Sus scrofa: one gene and its partners. The protein of the gene in region 3 interacts with the protein of the main gene of each other region in a pairwise test. Links are inferred from orthologs where the notes say so. Each region holds a gene or a part of one and is shown on either strand. Other genes may lie near its edges.

Region 1 (4,185 bases), on a different chromosome or scaffold from region 3:
CCGAGGTCCGTTCTAGATGGTAAAACAGGAAATCCATGGGGGACCACCGTGTTTTCTGTTGACAGCCACAGACCTTTCCTGCCCATGAAAAGCAGCTAGAAACTCCCCTAGAAGGGGCACCGACCTCATGCCACAGCTCGGGAAGAGTACGGTCAAGGCCCCCATCTTCCTATGCGGGAGTTGAGGAAGGCTTACCCTCAAAGCTGCAGCTCGGCATGAAAATTGTTATCAAAAAGGCTTTGGGGAGGGGGCAGCAATTCTCTGGGAACTGAAACCGGAGAAATACAGATAGCAGTTGCTTTGACGTGTGCACTAATTGGATTTGCACTTACAGACATTAAAGAAAAAGTACTGACAAGAATTTTGAGACATCAGCTTTGGAAATCAGAACATGCCAAATTCTGAGTCATGAAATGAACCCTTTGCAGGTGTTTCCCAAAGCTCTCCTGGGGTGCAGGCTTTGTCTCAAAGGCCTCCAAGCGTATACACAAAACTGTATTGAGGCAGACTAGTGGGTGTTGAAATGTTTATATTTCTCATTTTTTGCTTTAAAAAAAAAACAGCATTAATGTAAGCACTTTTGGATCTCATTGGACTTCACAATAAGAGAGACTGAGACTGAGGCCTTTTACAAATGAGGAAACTGAGATCCAGGAAAGCAACTAAGTAACAGATAAATCCAAGAGCAGAATCATCTGCCTTCTAACCCTGAGTTCTTTCCTCTACACCCTGCTGGAATTTCAGTTTTAAGATGTTCTAAGAACTGACTGCACCAATACATTGAGAGCTGCATAAACACCCTTATGTAATGTTTACATGTCAAATTCTAAGTAATCATTTTGGTTTCAGGGATGATAGAAACAGCCTTTCTGACAATAAGCAGCTCATTTTCTTCCCAAGGTAGACAATCCCACTTTGTCTGTGGGGTTGTCTATGGCTGCCCTTTTCCATTTACCATAACATTGGGTATGTGATCCTGGCATACAACATGCAGTGACTGTGCTCCAACAAAAAGTCAAGGATCTTGCCTCTCAATGCTGTTTATAGATGGTTTCTCCAATAACTGTCACACAGTCTAAGGTTTTTAAAAATTCCAAAGACCCTGTATAAATCCACTGGAATGACTGAGAAAAACTACTCTCTGGTTTTATATATTTCAAAGTAGAGTCTGTTTACTGCCTGTCCTCTCACTGGAACATGAGCCCCATAAGGGCAGGGACTTAAGTTTTGTCACTCTTGTATCTTCAGCACCTAAAGACAATCAATGCTGGATACACAGATGGGGCTCAATAACTATCTGTTGAAAGAATGAATGAATGAGAACATTTATAACCCCCAGGTACTAAAAAAGTGCACGGATCCGAAAGGTCTGATGACCTAATATTCTCCTTGATCAGTCAAGCAATCCGCTTCGCCCTAGAGCAATTTGCTCCTGTTCCTCATCTCTCTCCTCTAGTAACTTAGAGGACATCAGATGGGGCCCTTCAGAACTCATAGAGACTCCACAGCAAAACTAAAGACCTGCCCGTGAGCCAATCTTTTTTTTTTTTTTTTTTTTCCCGTTACTTGGGCCACTCCCGCGGCATATGGAGGTTCCCAGGCTTGGGGTCGAATCGGAGCTGTAGCTGCCGGCCTACGCCAGAGCCACTGCAACCCCGGATCCCCAACCCGAAACTTCATGGTTCCTAGTCGGATTCATTAACCACTGAGCCACGACGGGAACTCCCCGTGGGCCAATCTGTTAGTGACTGCGATCTTCAATAATTTTAAAGGTAAAAAGGCTTGATGGGGCTGTGACGAGTTAAAACACACATACACATACACACACACTGAACTTGGGTCTTGAATATAGCTGTTATGTACATATAACCTTGAGTAAATCAATAGCAGCTAACCTCTTCTAATATCTCAGCACATGCCAGCCACTGTATTAAATGCTTTCCACACACATCTCATTTCATCTTTCCCGCAACTCCTTAAAGTCGGTATCAGCATCTCCATTCTAGAGATAAGGAAATTGAGGTTCCAGGAGGTTAACTTCTTTTAACCCAAGCAACAGCTTTATACTCCCTCTGACCTCTGGGCTCCACCCCCACCCCCAGCACCTAGACTTTCCCCCACGTTATAAATCTGCTTCTTGATTTCCTTAACTATAAAAACTGAGGTAATGCCCCCCTACCGCCCCAAGGGAATTAGTGGCAAGAAAGGCCCTCCCTGTCTACCTGCCTTCTGTCTACCTGCCTTCTTTCCTTCCCTGAATAAAATCGTACGGTTTTCACAAAAACCTCTGGCATGACAAGTCTAAAGGGTAAAGCTCGAGGAGGAATGCAAGTGCGACCCTGACCAGGGCCCCTCCAGTCCGTCACCCTCAGATCTCCCCATTCTATGGGAGTTGGCGTCTGGACCTCCAGGGAGCGGAGAGAACCTGGGAAATGTCCCACCGGTCCCAGAGGCCGGCAGAGGCGGAATCTGTTTTCCACTTTTTGAAGATTTTAAAGAAAGCAAATCCTAGCCCAGCAGCGGAGGAGCTGCTGCCCCAGGGGCGGGACGAGGGAGGCCACCTCCTCCCCGGCCTCACCCACCCCACCGCCGCAAGACTCAGGGCCCGCCAGCTCCCGCCTCCCGGGACAGGCTGGGCCGAGGCACCTCAGGGAAGCCGGGGCCGGCGGGGTCATTCCTGCCCACCCGCCAATTGCTGGCCCCAAGCCCCCGAGTCGGTCCTCACGGAGAAGGCCGAGCCGCGACGCCGCTCCTCGCCAAGGTCCAGCACGTCCTCCATCTCCACGGCCGCTTGGCGTCACTTCCTGGAAACCCAGCGGCCTACTCGCGTCCCTGACGACGGCTCCGCCCTTCCATCCCCCTACTTAAAGGGCCCGCCGCATTGTTCTTGGATATGCTAACCTCCAGTTTAAACCAAATCTTTCTAAACCTTTTTTGTTTGACTTCTGGAAGAAATCTCCAGATCTTAAATTCTGCTAAGGGTGCTCCTGTGGTACAGTGAAAACTTTTAGTCCTTAGAAACTGCCTACATCTGTTCCAAATACATAAGTTAAGGGCCAAGCACTACTACTAGCAGTAGAGATTACCCCAATTCCTTCCATTTGTGCAGCTCTTTGCAATGTACAGAGGATCGTCACAGTTGCTAACTCATGTGAAGGGCATAACACCTTTGTGTGGGAAGCAAGATAAGGTGTATTGTCTCCACTGGGTAGATGAGAAAACAGGCACACAGAGGGTCAGGTGCTAATAAATGGTTTATAATGAAAAGTGCGATATATGTAATCTCTGCCTGAAGTTTACAGAGAGGCTGAACCAACACACCCAATACCTGAGTATTCATAATTTTCAAAACTACAAATAATCCCTCCAGCACCCTTTGAGGTGATCAAGGGCAGTATCTCTATTCAACAAGTAAAAATATTCAGGTGCAGGGCGGCGCCTTGAGGAAAATCACCTGAGTGTTAAACAGTAGAGCCAAGTGCCTTTCTTCCACCAGATTTTACTAAAGAACTTTCCTCTAGCACGTGTTCCTGGGTGCCACCCATTCTCCCAGGCCAGCAGAGGAAGATGGCCCTCAAACTCCCAGCCTAATGAGAAAAGTCAGTTGAGCCTTCATTAGCTCACCCTGTAAGACCCCCAGGTCAATATTACTGACCAGGCCTTGGTATTGGGGAACCCCAGCTTGGACCCCCAGATGGGCTTATCGCCCTGAAATTTGCAACCTACCCCACAGCTTCAGCAATGCTGGATCCTTAACCCACCATGCCGGCCAGGGATGGAACCGAGCCTCAGGAGTGACCTGGGCCGTGCGGAGACAGCAATGGATCCTTAACCTGCTGTGCCACCATGGGAACTCCTGAATTTTTCCATTTCTTGTGAGCTCTATTAAACAATAATCAGTATCAGGGCTGCAAAGAACAAAGAGCTTTATTGGAGGGCTATCTTAAGAATTGTTGGGAGACAGATTCTGGTAAAATCAAGAGTGTTCCAGGGAAAAGAAAGAGTCAGGGGCTTACAAAAGGCAAAAGTCATGAGGCTGTTCTCTGCTACTACGAGAAAGGAAATGTTTGTCCTTAAGGAATCACGAGTTACTTCCGAGTAAGGGTCTGATAAGTAGATAGGCTGTCACGAGTTATTGTAAGGTAGGGGTCTGATAAGTATCTTGAGTTTCTGGCAGATCTTCTG
Region 2 (4,102 bases), on a different chromosome or scaffold from region 3:
ATGGGAACAAAGTTACTTTTAAGCTTCTCTTGTCAAAAGAGGCTTTAGCTCATTCACCAGTCCCATGGGGGGTCTTTTTCAAGCTAGGAAGAAAAAGATTAGGCTGGATAAACTAACTGGTGTTCTCTTCCAAGAGGGCTCCATGCTATTGTGCCAGAAGCAGACAGAGGAAGTGGGGAGAAGAGATGGCAGGCTTCTGAAATGTAGCATGGCCATCCTAGGATGTGCTTAATAATTACTTGTTGATTTATGCTCAAGTGTGTCATTCTCCTTCTCCATAGGGGGAAATAGAAATCAGTGATTTAACAAGCTAGAAAAACTCAAAGTAGAAGTCACTGGAAAATTACTAAAGTACTTAGTAAATAAAGGAAAATGGCATTTAGTGTTTTTCCATTTGCAGGGACTGATTGCTGCTAATCTTGATTCAGAGTAATTTAAGGGCTTAAAAAACACTCCAGATGCCACAGAATCTGAGAACTTCTGACAGCTGTTGAAACAGGGTGAAGCTTTTTGTCCCAGGTCACACATCCCTGCGTGTCAGAACTTGGGTCCCAAGCCTGAGTATTTATGCATCTATGTCACCACTGACTCCTGCTGAGTCGGGGTCCATAACCTTTTTTGTGCCATGGACCTTTTTGCAGTCTAGGGAAGCCTGGGGAGGATATTGTCTCAGAACAATGATTTCAGATTCATAAAGGAAAAAGTCTTTGGTTCCCTTCTCAGAGTATAAATTTTAAATGCATGAATTAAAATAGAAACATAAAAAACAATTACACTTAATAGGTATTAAAATAATTCTAAATGCAATACAGTAATACCTGTGCTTCACTTTTAACACATTAAATAATTAGAATTGTTACCATGATTTTTAAGTAGTGATATGTAAGTGATTTTTCAGACCTGTAACATCTGTAATCTGAGTTGAAAGTTTCTATGATTTCTTTTGATGACAAAGTCATCAGCTTTGCTAGTTGCCACTATAGTTTATTAGTCACATTCATAAATATAGGAAATGCTAAATTTAGATTAAAGGTTAATAGACACAAAGATAATTTTTTCCCATCCGGATATATAGAACCCCTGAATTCTCTCCACACACCCCCACTGGGTGGGTGTCATGGTCCCCAGGTTAAGAATGTCTGGGCAGAAGGACTGTCATGGTAAACTGAAGAGGAATATAGCTGTGCACAGACTCTATACTGTCCCCATGGAAGGTAGCAGGTTACTGCAGAAGAGGACAACAGCTGTGCCCCCAGGGAAGGTAACCAACGCCCCAGATAGGAGCTGCTCCTTTTTTCTGTGGGTGTTTTCTGGACACAGAGCCCAGGTTAACTAGAAAGGTTACAGCACAGAAGTACAGCTAACATTCCTATGGCAGCCTGACCCAGGAACTCAGATTTACACTGCTCTTTTGTCATAAGATTTTAAATTTCTCCTACTGACATTTGGTCCTATGTATTTGTCTCTTCTGTCTTTTTTTTTTTTTTTTTTTTTTTTTTTTTAAGTAAGTGAAAATACCATCCAGAAAGAGGGCGGTGAAAGGTGGTTTATACAATTGGGTTAGAGGAAAGTGCCTAACCTCCAATACTAGGCACAGCTTTGCCTTTAGAAATTATTATAGAAGTAACACAGGCTCACTAAGGAAAAAAAAAAAAATCAAGCAGTACACAAATGATAAAGCAAAAAATAAAAGCCCCCAGCTCCATCCCTCTACCTGTTCAATGTCATTCCTAAGCAGTAGCCTTTTCATTGGGGGAGTGTGTGTATCCTTTATGTAAAAATATGTATCCTGGGAGTTCCCATTGTGCCTCTGCAAAAATGAACCCGACTAGTATCCATGAGGACACAGGTTCATCCCTGGTCCCACTCAGTGAATTAAGCAGAGAGCTGTGATGTATAGGTCCCAAACGCGGAACTTCCATATGCTGCACTTGTGGCCCTAAAAAGAAAGAAAATAAAATCTTTAAAAATCACGATACATACTATTATGCAATTACTCTTCTCACTAGACAATTCTACATGTTGATATTTTAATAAGTACATTTACTATGACTGTGGGTCTTTGAATGGGCACATGGCGCACTGGGAATGCCACCTGATCCAAAATGCCCTCAAACCTCAGCACCTCACCGCCCACCCAGCTCAACTGCCCTTGACCGCTTCACTTCCCGGTTTATCCCTTTTTCTAAGTTTTGCTCCCCCTGGCCGGCAGTGCCCGCCTAATGACTTACAAGTTCGGGCGTCCAGGTAAGCATCTCGGCTAAAGACACCTGAGGGGTTCTGGGAGTTCTCACCGAGACGCAGAAGCTGCCTAAACGTCCCTCGGAGATGCCCTAGGGGGTCGCACATCAAGGCTCAGCAGCCCCGACAACACGCGCCACTGCCACTGCCCCTGCCCCGCGGAAAGACCCCAGGTCTTCTCACCGAGTCTCTTTGGTGGCTGCCACCAAGTCACCTCCACACCCCTGCCCTCTGGGGCGAGTGCGGCTGGGACCTGTGCCGGAGACTCGTTGGCGCATAAACCCCGGTGGCGCCCACGTCCCTCTCGGAGTCCACGCACCTCCGTCGGAGCCGGGAGCCCGTGCAGTATTTGTCACCGTCACCGTTGCTGGCCGGGTAAGCCCTCGTCTGGGCGCCTCGCCTCTGTTGAGCCTTTATAGGACCCCGCCCTTTGTCTCCAGGCCGTTCACGCCCAGGACTCTGCAGGTCCCTCCCCACCCCTGCGCCCTAGCTTCTCTGGACCAGCCTCCCTGCGCCCTAGAAACCAAGCAGAGGCGGAAGGAGACCCTGCTTTGTTTAAGGCGTTGAAAGGGGAGGGGGTTCTGCCACCCACTCGGACCACAGCGAGGCTGGCAGAGGCTGGCCGAGGATGGCCAGCGGTTTACCAGCTCTCTTCTCCAATGTCTATAAACCTCAGAAAGTCTGTGCCCTGTGGCCAGCTCATCAGATGTCAGTCGTTTCAGCCTCAGTGAGTCTCCAACTGCAGCTCCAGAACCACTTGCTTCAGAATCATGGGTGAGGGGAGGTGGATTTCAACACCCGCGACCCTGACCCACCAGATCAGGTTTTCAGAGAATGGCATCCAAAATCTGTCTTTTTGATAAGTATCCCGAGGAGATTAAGATGTACAGAGAAGTTAAATCATCACTGCACTGGACAGATTCCCGGATTTATCATCTCAGTTTCCAGAGCACCCGGGTGGGCGCGGGGCGGGGCGGGGGAGGGGGGGACTTGGTATTTCAGGGTGGCTTCATTGGCCTTCCTGCTTCTGCACTTTCCTCTTTCTGCCTATTCTCCAACATCACCCAGAATGAGCCTAGGAAAACCCAAGCAAATCAGGTTCCTGCCACTTCTCACTCAAAACCTTTCCCTGTCTCCCCATTTCATTCAGACTTAAGCTGAAGTAATTGCAGTGCCTCCCAGATACCATCTACCTGACTTTTTTGTTCCTTCTCTCCCTGGGGGACACTCAGCTCTAGTCACTCTGACCCCTGCTATTTCAGAAACACACCAGGCACCCTCCTGCCTCAGGGCCTTTGCACTGTTTCCACTGCCTGAAACACTCTTCCCCCAAGTTAGCCTCACAGTTCTCTCCCTCACCTCCTTTCATTCATTCAGCAATTATTATTGAGTGCCCACTCTGGGCCAATTGAGTACCCACTCTGGGCCAGTGCCTCTTGTAGGCACTAGGGATACAACTTTACAATAAAAGAAATTTTTCTGCCTTATGGAATTGGCATTTTTTAGGTCTTTGCTCACATGTCACCTTCTCAAACAGGATTCTCTGAATCTCTGATACCTAAAATTGCACCTTCACACCCAGGACTCTTCATCTTTCTGCCCTGCTTTGTTCTTCTCCTTGGCACTCACTGCATTTAGTAATATTTTTCTTATTTATCTTGTTTGTTTCCTCTCCAACCCCAGTGAACAGGTGTTCTTCAAATGTAGGTTGATAAATGAATGGATAAGCAATAAACTTCTACATATCACATTCTCTGAAGGACCCAGCTAGGGTCTGGCACAATAAATTCACAAATGCATTAAAGCTTAGGGGATAAGAGCAAAGGACTCTGGATTTGTATTACCCAGGTTGAAATCCCCA
Region 3 (3,645 bases):
CGGAGCTCCCGGGGCCTCTGCCTATATCATGCCATTGATCTTAGTCCACTCGTAGATGTCCTGCTCGCACACTATGTCCGAGTTGATGAGGAGGTATCTGTCGCCCACACAGAAGTGCTTCTGACAGGCGGCACACTTGAAACATTCCAGGTGATACACTTTGTCTTTCACCCGCATGGTCATCTCGTAGGCACGGATCCGCTTGTCACAGGATGCGCACAGACCGTCTTGGCCAAAAAGCCTGGGGGAGGAAAAGAGAGAAAAAGCTCAAAAGAGACTGGCAGAGATGAGAGGGCTTGGGGATGGGTTCCGTGATGCTGGCTGGATTTCCAAGACGTCGGGAAGCAAGGAAGAGCTGGGTCCAGACAGATAACCGACTCCTATGTACTTTCCTGGAAGGAAGAGGGTCCTCTGGGGTGAAATGGTATCTGCGGCATTTGTGTTGGCCATAACACCTCATCCCTCTCATGAGCTCTCTCCCTGCCTGCAACAACCACTCTCCTCGCCTTTAGGCTGCCCCAGGCCGCCTCTGTGGAAAAGACTCTCAGCTGAAGCTTTGTAAGAGGGTAGGCATGGCTGGCGTGCCTCCTCCCAGGGGAACTCTCAGGTTTTTTTTGTTTTGGGGGGCTTTTTGCTTTTTTAGGGCCACACCCATGGAAGTTCCCAGGCTAGGGGTTGAATTGGAGCTGCAGCTGCCAGCCTACACCACAGCCGCAGCAATGTGGGATCCGAGCTGTGTCTACGCCATCTGCACCACAGCAATGCTGGATCCTTACCCCACGGAGCAGGGCCAGGGATTGAACCCACATCCTCATGGATACTAGCTGGGTTCGTTCCTGCTGAGCCGCAATGGAACTCCAAAACTCTCAGTTCAGAAGAAGAGCAGGAGGAAACCCCTGGGGGCCCCTTTGAGAGGAAACTGACCAGGAATGCGATGAATTGGGCATCTTTCTGAAGCTCCCAAGATCTATCATATCAACAGCCGCTAATTCCACCCAAGGGGAGGACTGGTTTTGAATGACTCCAAAGGCACAAAGGCCACATGATTGTTCGCTGGGACCCCAGCTCCTGGGAGACAGAGGCAGTTTGAGAGAAAACACGTGGTATAGCTAAGCATGCCTCAGATCTGGAGGACAAGCGACGTCTCTCCATGCCCAATGCAAGATCTTAATTGAAGATCCTTGCTGCCCCGACAGCACGAGTCTCTGGAGAGGCTTCTGACATTGAAACTAAGACCCTCCGAAGCCTCAGTTGGTCAATTACTTCAAGGAATATTCAGTGTCAAGGTGGGAAATGCAATATGGCGGAGCCCAGTGCAGTGGGTCTCAGTGTGGTCCGGGGACCAGCCGCATTTGCACTCGCTGGGAGCTTGTGAGAAATGCACACTCGGGCCCTCCTGATGGAGGTACTCTGCGGGCGATCCTGAGCACTTCCAGGTGATTCGAATGCAGGCTGAAGTTTGCAAATCAGCCCACAGGCATGGGAATCAGCAGACTCAGACTCAGTCCAGGACTCGCCCTGAGTACCTGAGTGACCCTGGTGAGACCTCCGATTCCTCTGAGCTTATGAAACGGCAGCGCTCATAGCGCCTGCCTCACCCAGCTGTTAGAAGGATACAATGCAGCCTGTCAAACCACCAACAGCCAAGGTCAAGGGCGAAGCCAACTCTGGCTGTGTTTTAACACACCTTGGGGGTATTCCCAAAGGGGCCAGTCTTGCTGCCGGAAGTCATTTCTGCACGTGCCTGATCACATGGCATTTCAGGGGGTCCTTCCCACCCTTTGGGGGCAGTGTTAGGTAAATGCTTGTTCTTATTAACTTCAAATAGAGAATCAACCGGCACATTCTGAGTGGCCGTAGGGGAGATAAGGGCAGCTGACAAATTTTGAAATGTGTGGGCTACACTAATGGGATCAAGATGTGGTCTGTGAGCAGAGCGCTCCCTGTTACAGCCAGGCCAGCTAGCTTCTCTCCGAATCCCGCTTTCCCTTTGAAGATCCCTTTGAGTGTTTTCGAGGCACCACCTGGGAGCAAACTCATTACTGGGGGAGAACATTTTATCCCGAGGCAGCAAATGGAGGAGCCGTGGGGAGCTGCCACCTTGGCGGTCAGGAAGTAGAAAGGCAGTTCTGGTTTCCTGATCGTTCAGTAAGTTGAGTTGGGGCCGAGCGAGAATCGATGACTCACAAAACCGTGTGCGTGGAATGACGCCAGGCGCCTGGGTGTGTGACCCTTATGGGAGGAGAGCGTTTATTAAAGGGAAGTCGGGGGTAAATTACAACCCACGTCAGGCAGCTAATGAAGGGACGGACGAAGGACTGATGTCTGGGAGACAAGTTCAAGTCCCAGCATCACCTCTAATTAGCCAGGTGCCAATGACATCCTCTGCCCTGGCTCCTGTGTCTTAAGCTGTAGAGCAAGAGACCAGGAAGAGAAGGTCTCTGCAGCCCCTTCCAGCTCTGGTTTGCTGAGACTTTGCCACTCATGAAAATAAGCCAGGACTTGACATCTAAATTGAGTGTTGACCTCTGGCACCAAAATCGGTGCCTTGGGCTGGATGGCCCAGGAGCGGACCTGAAGCCTCATATGACTGAGGATGTGTAATCAGGGGAAATGGGTAGGAGGCAGGAAGCCAGGCAGAAGGGGTGGAAGGCAAGCAAAGTTGCGATCTGGGGCCAAGGGCCTCAGAGGGGAGCTTCGACCTGACCGCGTGGGAACTCTAGGGTGGAAGCTGTGTCTCCAGGCGGCCCTGGCTCCAGGCAAGATTGCAGGACTTTGGTCTCTGGCAGTGTCAGTCATGGGGCAAGGTCAGCTGGGCATCTGCAGGGGTAGTGGGTACACCTCTGGCTTTTAACAGGTGCAGGTGCTGGCAGCTGAAGGTAAACCATGGCCGGGGGTGGCGGGGGCGGGTGCACGACACACACAGATTGGTAAAAAGGAATCTGTGGGGATCTGGGCTGAGCTTTAATATTAGCAACTACTGTTAGGTTCCCAACAAAACCACCTAATAGCCCGGGGTTTATTCCAGTTCTGCACGGGAGTCTCATGAATATTTGAGGCTAAAAGCCTGAAAAAGACTGTAACAGGCAAGTCAGCCACTGGAAATCCTCAGGGGAAGAAGTTCTCCTTGGAGGGCAGGGGAGAAGGATGAACCCCATCACAGGACCCCTTCAACTTGTCTTTTGCCCAGACATACCAAAAATGTTCAGAATGCAAGCAAACAAGTCCATGGCTAAAGGGCCATCTCTGCAGCAAGAAACGATTTTTCTCCTCTGTCAAGAGGTGTCATGTCTTAAGCTTCCTCCTGCCCATTTTAATAACAATAATATAAATATGAAAGGATGGCTGGAAACGCCTGCACTAACACAGAGTTAATTAACATGTTGTCTAGGAATGTAGCAGGGAGAAGAATTATTTCATGTCACCAAGACACAAGTTAATTAACATTGGGCTCTCCCAGACTATTTTTTTTTTCCTCTCCTTTTTAAAAATGCAAAAGATTAACAAGCCCAGGCAGCACAGGGCTTATTCGTGAATGTTATATAAAACCACAGAGATAGGGAGAAGCCTGGCCTCTTTTGACCTTCCTCTATCTGTACTTCATTTAATAAGATTCAAATGATTTGACAGGGATGTAGTCGGTGG

Evidence for each region.
Region 1: the proteins of LMO2 (region 3) and IFT43 interact in binary tests that used the Homo sapiens proteins (3 or more experiments, as listed by UniProt). The two-hybrid records come from large-scale screens. The link is inferred for Sus scrofa from reciprocal best matches to the Homo sapiens genes LMO2 and IFT43.
Region 2: the proteins of LMO2 (region 3) and TAL2 interact in a two-hybrid assay, tested with the Homo sapiens proteins (2 studies listed by BioGRID and IntAct). The link is inferred for Sus scrofa from reciprocal best matches to the Homo sapiens genes LMO2 and TAL2.

Annotation. Positions count from the first base shown.
Region 1 is NC_010449.5:99,157,511-99,161,695, reverse strand, and holds the start of IFT43 (intraflagellar transport protein 43 homolog), read right to left. Parts: upstream 2,855-4,185; 5' UTR 2,780-2,854; coding exon 2,726-2,779; exon of another isoform or gene 2,647-2,725; intron 2,003-2,646; exon of another isoform or gene 1,896-2,002; intron 1-1,895. UniProt on the Homo sapiens protein: As a component of IFT complex A (IFT-A), a complex required for retrograde ciliary transport and entry into cilia of G protein-coupled receptors (GPCRs), it is involved in ciliogenesis.
Region 2 is NC_010443.5:246,931,758-246,935,859, reverse strand, and holds the start of TAL2 (T-cell acute lymphocytic leukemia protein 2), read right to left. Parts: upstream 2,886-4,102; 5' UTR 2,520-2,885; coding exon 2,425-2,519; intron 1-2,424.
Region 3 is NC_010444.4:27,051,025-27,054,669, reverse strand, and holds part of LMO2 (rhombotin-2), read right to left. Parts: intron 242-3,645; coding exon 22-241; 3' UTR 1-21. UniProt on the Homo sapiens protein: Acts with TAL1/SCL to regulate red blood cell development. Also acts with LDB1 to maintain erythroid precursors in an immature state.